2 linked regions of the Drosophila melanogaster genome follow. The protein of the gene in region 1 interacts with the protein of each later gene in a pairwise test. Each region holds a gene or a part of one and is shown on either strand. Other genes may lie near its edges.

Region 1 (3,869 bases):
AGCATTCTAGGTTATCAATTGCAGGGCTTCGCCGGCGGACGTGTTCGTGGCAGCCATTTCGGTTTTATCATCTCTGGCTCGCTTTTATGGCTTTGCCGGACCCAGCTGATGCGCCCTGCTGCTCCAGGAGCTGCTCAATCGGCGCAGCTGAACGTTGCAAGCACTTTGCTTTTATCATGCAAATAACGACGCTGGCGGATGCGAATGCTGACCCAATGCATGTAGCTAGCTTTACGGCAATGGCTTCCTGCTTCTTAAGCTATTAATCAGTGTCAGCTTTTCGAGGGCTCAATCCCGGAAAGATGTTGGCTGGCGTGCATGGTCGCTACGACCATATTAGGCAGCTAAACTGGAGAGCCATAAGGTCAAGTTTTGTGGAGCTGGCGCGAGTGGGAGTGGGTGGGCTCTTACTTTCTGCACGCGGCGCAAGTGACAAACAAACAAGCAAGCTAACACGTCGTTTGTATCATCACTCGCATCGCAGCATCGCCATTTGTATGCCGTCCAAGTGCATTTCCCGCCAAGTGCAGCGCACTCCAATCCCCTCCACCCGCGCAGCCATCCAACCACTCGAAACCACGTCAATATTTGCTTTACTAAAAGTTTTCGATAAATTTCGGTTTCGAGATGCCAGCTTGCGTTCGTTGGCCGGGGGGAGGGGAGCGGATTGCGTTTGATGGAAAATATAATTTACAGTTAATTGTCGTAAGTGGAAGCAGTGAAAGAGTGTTTTTGGCCAAGTGATGAGTACTTTAAATAGCCATAGTTTTCATTTGCTTTCGTTGCCTATATTTACTGTACATATAAATCTTTATAATCTTTAGTTACTAAATTCCAATTTGACTTGGCTAGATATTTTCCAATTGGTTTTCTCATCAGAGCGAAACAGCATTTCTACTTTATTTTTACGTCGTTTTATGTACACCGTGTACACGTGTCAAATTTTAACAGCCAGCTTACCCCTCTCTATTCAGCACAGCTGTTAAGCGCGAATGCAGACTGTTAGTTTACATAGCTCGGTTTCTCGCATGCGATAAATATAACATTTCTATAATAATATGGAATAGAACGCTTCTGTTAAATTTTCCCCTTCGCATGCAAATGTTAATGAAATGTAATGAATGCAATAAAATGTTATTCTCGACATTTTCTCAAATCTGTACAGGAATTGCACATAAAACACGCGTGAAATGTAAATGTAACTGTATATTCCATATTTCATATTTTAGTTTTATTTATTATTTTATTTATAGATGCAAATATGCGAAGTTATAATGTTAGAGTAAAGTTATAAGTTAAGAGAAAAAATTATGTTGTGAATAAATTTGTTTGCCACACTTAAATGCAAAAGTGGCGTGTCTTCCGAATTTTAGCAGCTGTTCTTCAATTCTCACAAGATAATTGTCAATTGATCGGAAAGGCAAGCATACAAAAAAAGTCGAGTGCAAGTCATAAAACTTAGAGCAGTAAATAGTTTCTGGGCCACTTGCCCAGCCCCTCGCACACTTTTCAATTCTGCTGTCACTTTGGACAAACTTTGACTATGCGGATTTCTTTAGGGGGGTGGATCCAGACGACTGGAATTTATGTTTGCTGTCGTCGGGACTTATGCGCTTTCGACTGCTGTTTTTTCCCCAAAGCGAAGTACCGAAATTAAAGTGCCCGTAAATTGGCTAGAACTTTGTTTTCAGTTGGCTGCAGTTGAAGTGAGCAGTTGGTGTGAGCAGATTTCAAATAATTTCCCGTGGATTTGTATCCTTGCAAAAAAGAACTTGTAACCTTTTTTTTGTCTTTGACAACTTTCTAGTCTGTTGAAATTATTTCAATCGTGATGAAAAGTTCAAACAAAAAAATCAAATTTGTAAAAGGGAAATTGGCGCCTTAATTTAAGTTTTTGCAGTGCTGGAAATTACTTGCCGCACCAACAGTTCCATTAAGGTTAGAGTCGTTGCTACACCTTATTCCACGCTCACAGCCCTGATTTCTGAACCGGTTCGTCGATACTTATCGATATCGACGTTTGAATGTTGAAACTTAATAGGCGCTGCCACTTAAGCTACAAAAAATCGATTGTCGATAATCATTTTATATCTGGTAGCACTGCCTTTAGTCACATTCATTTGTATTGAATTCTAGATAATTCCAGATAATAATAAAATTAACCCCGTTTAGTGGGCGAAAGCAATTATAGGGGAATCCTCAACAATTCCCAATTTCCAGTACCAGCTGAAGCAGCAAGATGTCCGTGCGCCACGACTGGTACCAGTCGGAGACCAAGGTGGTCATCACCGTGCTCCTGAAGAACGCCGTCGATAAGAACTATGCTGTGGAGATTACCCAGAAGCGAGTCCACATGACGGCGGATGGCTACGAGTTGGACCTGAAGCTGCTTCATCCCATTGTTGTGGAGCGTTCCTCCTACAAGGCCTTTTCGACCAAAGTGGAAATCACACTGGCTAAGGAGACGGGAATTCGGTGGGAGAATCTGGAGGAGGCCATCGTGGCTGCACCGGTGAAACCCAAGGCCAAGAACTGGGACCAGCTGGTCAGCGAGGAGGAAAAGATCGACGAGAAGGAGGCCAAGGGCGAGGCGGCCCTCACCAACCTGTTCAAGAAAATCTACAGCTCATCCTCGCCCGAGGTCCAAAAGGCCATGAACAAGTCCTTCTCGGAGTCCGGAGGCACCGTGCTCAGCACCAACTGGAATGAGGTGGGCAAAGAAAGAGTCACCGTGAAGCCTCCAAATGGAACCGAGTTCCGCGAGTGGGAGAAGTAGGCGAAATGGCCATACTCCTTTATTTATAGAGTCAGCGAGAGAGATTAACAGAGAATAATTACTATAACGTGTACATTTTGGGGATTGTCGACTTGAATTAGCAAGTACAGAGGAGTATCATAAGGAAAACAGTGGCAATAAACGCATTAAAGGAACTTCAGAAACACAAAAATGTTTATATTTCCTAGAAAAGAACTAGGCTGTAAAATAAATTAATGAATCCACCACATAAACACTCTTTCGAGCACCTCACAACATAAATGTATTTTAATTAATATTTTGTTATATCATAGCACTTTATTTCTGTAACAAGTTTGGTTAAAACACTCGACAGAATAAGATTTGGATAATGTATGTATTTAATTTGTAACGAATAAATTTAAATCAACAGTTTTCAACAACTTTTTTCAATTAGAGCATTTTGAAAACGCACAATAAAGGTGAGCAAGAAACTGTCGTTGAACTCTTGTGCTGATTGTTTTTATTTCATTATTCATTTTATCTCACAACGAACAACTGCTGAATCCACCCCCGCACTCAACCGAAACGTTCTCAGCGAAAACAGCTGATCGGCAGACCGGGTAGCAGATACGTGTAAAAATAAACGCACAATTACTTTTGGCTCGCACAAATTGCTCTGCAATTCCTAAAAACTCCGAAATGTACAAGAATCTGGAGGAGCACAACCGGCTGGTTAACAAATACCTAAAGATATTCTTCGTCGTGTCGCTCTACTGGTGAGTAATGCGTGCGAACCCTCCATCTGTGCGCCGCCTGCAGTTCCATTTCTTCCACAGGTGCACCTCGATATTGACGGTATTCGTAAATAAGCACCTGCTGAGCAGCGATACAGTAAACCTGGGAGCTCCGCTCTTTATGTCCTGGTTCCAATGCGTGGTTTCCACAGTGATATGTTTTGTGGCAAGTCGGCTGAGCAGGAAGTACCCCTCGGTATTTACGTTTCCCGAGGGAAATCCACTGGACATCGACACCTTCCGCAAGATCCTGCCTCTATCTGTGCTCTATACCCTGATGATTGGGGCCAACAACCTGTCGCTGTCCTACGTCACAGTGGCCTTCTACTACATCGGTC
Region 2 (3,580 bases), on another chromosome or scaffold:
TATTCTTTTTTAAAACATGCAAAATCACGTCTATGCATCTTAATAACTTTTCGTGCTCGTGCAAACAATGCGAACGTGAAAGTTGAATAGGTTTGGCTTAGTTATCAGAGGGTTCCCGTCTTCGTTTTCGCAGGAGGAAATTTTCTGGGGTCTCGGGCAGGTTGCTCCATGGTCTCTCAATGCATAAATCAAATGTACATATTGTAGTTGAAGCTAAACTTAATTTAGTTTCCGGGAGTTCCCAACAAGTTTCGGATATCGAGGGTGGATTTGGAGCACAGATAAGGGGAAAGTAAGAATATTCCTGGTGGTGCGGATGTTTGATTTTTGAATCTGGGTAGGTCTCAAATGTAAGCAGTAGTTTGTATTCAAGTATTTAAGACTGTTACAGTTATTGGTTAAGGCAAGACAGATAAGAATTGTATCATAAGTGTTGACTTTCCATTGTTAACAACTATAATTTCTTAGTGACACTCGTTTTGATTCGCATATCTCGAGGGAACAATAACTTCTTAAGCTTGCCTATAGTAAAACTATAGTATTGTATAGCTAGTCCTGAGCCAGCTGCTATAGCCGTGACCATAGTCATAACTTTGTTTAGCAAACACATCCATTCCCATTCCGAGGCACACATGAAACAATTGAATCGAAAAGAAACCAATCAGTCAACAGGGGTATTCCCCACGTAACCCACCGAGGGCTGCAAAAAACCAGTCAAAAAAAAAAAAAGTAACAATACAAAAATTAATTGATGACGTGCACACACGCATACATACATGAACACTCACACAGCCACACAGATGACGCACCAACACTAATTGGCAGCAGGAACAACGTGGACCACATATGCATGTATGCGAGGATATAGCCTGGAAGTCGATTTGATAACCGTGCACGATATGATGGGCGGCATGGATCCCTTCCGCTTTGGTTATGAAACATCCGAAAAAGGGGACGCTGTAACGGGATTTTGGAGGCGGCTCGGTGAAAGGGTGAAAGGGGCGTGAACACGGCCAAATCGATGCAGACATAGACGAGCAACAATCAATCAATTAAATGCCTGAATGCAGCTCCAAACAAACCGAGCCACGATAACCATAACATGACCCACCGGATAATGTTCGGCATGCAAAAGTGAGATTGACTTTTAGGCAGACGGCAACACTATTAAAGATTTATTCTTGTTTCTCGGCTCGTTCGAATCTCCGATTTTCTCTGGGATAGTTGGCCAATTTATGTGACGGACTGAAATTTTTAAAGCTCTCTGCAACAAACAAAATTGAAATGTTGCACGATGTGGCAAAGAATACATTTTCTGTTAACCATTTCTGTATTGGCAAGTAATTCCAGAAATGGACAACTATTCCAAGCATCCATCTGTTTAATGGGTTAAATGCGAGATAAAATATTTGAAAATTTTAAAGGCAAATATTTGTGTGTGCTAGAATGATTTTTGATTTATAGTATTTGTCAATACGAATTCATTAATTCTAAAACTGGTGTCCAAAAGTACTTAATGGTCATTAAGCCATAAATCGGACCTCCATCAGATGCGCAATTAGTCTGGCCATTTCAGAGAGCTAAGCTATGCTATGACATACTTAATAGAATCATAAATTTTAATCATCTACCGATTAATACTTGTAAAATATAGAGAAAACGTGAATTTCCAGACGAATTCCAAGCTGCCAATCAAATCAATGGTGATAAGAAACAAAATTCTGGGAGACATTCGAACAAGAAATTATTTATTAATTTATGGCATTCGTGCGTTCCTCGGCTCTGGCCACATTGTTCGGCCACGTGCTTTCGGTCCTTTCTCGCTTGAAGCTTATATCGATAACCACAATAGACGCCAACTCGAAACCACGTTTCTCAATCGTCCGTCGAAATTCCGGAGCCAGATCTTTCCAAGCTACTAGATCTTTGCAAGCTAACGCGAAAAAAAACCAGCTTTGCGATGAGTGCGGAACCAAGTCCGGTAATGAGTCCCCAGCAGCAGGCCGAGCGGGAGAAGGTGTACCAGTTGATCATCGAGCTGGCCTATCCTGCCACGCGGGAGACCGCTCTGCTGGAGCTGAGCAAGAACACCTATGCGGACCTGGCCCCCATGCTGTGGAAAAGCGTCGGTACCACCTGCACCCTGCTGCAGGAGATCGTCAACATATACCCCATAATAACGACGCCCGTTTTGAAGGCCAACCAGTCGAACCGCGTGTGCTACGCCCTGACTTTGCTACAGTGCGTCGCCTCGCATCCGGAGACTCGCCCGGCCTTCCTGCGGGACCAGATACCGATGTACTTGTACCCCTTCTTGTCGACCACGTTCAAGAGCAGGCCCTTCGAGCAGCTGCGCCTGACCACGCTGGGCGTGATTAATGCTCTGGCCGAGACCGGTGATACGGAGGTCCTCATCTTCCTGATATGGAGCGAGGTCGTGCCTCACTGTCTGACCAATATGGTCAGGGGATCGAAGCTGACCAAGATCGCGGCCACTTCAATCCTTGAGAAGATACTGCTCGATGAGATGGGTCTGACGTACATTTGCGAGAACCACGATCGCTTCTCGCAGGTGGCCATCACCCTGGGCAAAATGGTCATCCATATGTTGAAGTTTCCATGCCTCCGGGTGCTGAAGCATGTGGTGCGCTGCTATCTACTACTTACGGAAAATGCGCGCGCTCGCAGTGCACTTAGAGTGTGTCTGCCGGATCTGCTGCGTGACGGCACCTTCACGTCGCTCGTGCAACATGACACGTGCACCAAGCAGTGGCTGCAGATGCTGCTCAAGAACCTGCAGACAAACGCCGTCAACCCAATGGGCTCCTCCTAGAGAAGCGCCCAACAACTTTCGTCACTCCACCGTCCATTCAAGCGCCATCGATTAGTGATACCCACTCCTAGTTAACTGCTCGACCGAATAAACATGGCCTACATAATCTACAAATGAAATTATGATATTACTAAAATTGACGGTACAATAAAAAATATCAAATATAAAATATCATAGCTCCTAGCTCATATTTATTAATAGTCACACTAGGCATACATCTTGACCAGCAAGAGACCCAGAACGCTAGACGCGATGGCAATAGTGCTGCTGCTCATCTTTCCGGCCGGATTCTTGTTGCACTTGTCGCCCGAACAGGTGAGACACCAGGTCTTATTGTAGTGAGCATAGGCCGGCTTAAGTGCTAAGCTGCAGGCTCCAACATTTGGATGCACACAGCCATGGAGCTGATGGATCACATCGTTATCTGGCAAGTGGAAAGTAGTTAATAAATCTTTATAGTCCGCTTCTGGGGTCCCCACGCTACTCACTCCAGTTGTACTTCAGAGCCAGGCAATCGAATCGCGTGCTGGTTAGGTTGCCAACATTCTGATGATAGACACCCAGGTAGTAACTAGTCTCATTCGCAGCCGCATTCGTGCAGGTGACTTTCTTGGGACTCTTGCAGTCCTTTGGCGTTACGCAGGTGTAACACTTCAGGGAATCAGCTATAATCCATGTTAAAAACAATCAGTTGATCTCGAATTTCACATTTTACGCAATTGACTCACCAATTTGCACACACACAAA

What was found.
Region 2: the proteins of Sgt1 (region 1) and Rcd-1r interact in a two-hybrid assay, tested with the Drosophila melanogaster proteins (one large-scale study listed by BioGRID).

What each region holds. Positions count from the first base shown.
Region 1 is NT_033777.3:8,303,493-8,307,361, reverse strand, and holds Sgt1 (suppressor-of-G2-allele-of-skp1), read left to right. Parts: upstream 1-2,087; 5' UTR 2,088-2,239; coding exon 2,240-2,776; 3' UTR 2,777-3,172; downstream 3,173-3,869. Other genes in the region: nac (neuronally altered carbohydrate), read left to right, coding at 3,437-3,513, 3,574-3,869.
Region 2 is NT_033779.5:9,012,303-9,015,882, reverse strand, and holds Rcd-1r (Rcd-1 related), read left to right. Parts: upstream 1-1,814; 5' UTR 1,815-1,960; coding exon 1,961-2,833; 3' UTR 2,834-2,998; downstream 2,999-3,580. Other genes in the region: CG13102 (uncharacterized protein), read right to left, coding at 3,040-3,257, 3,322-3,498, 3,562-3,580.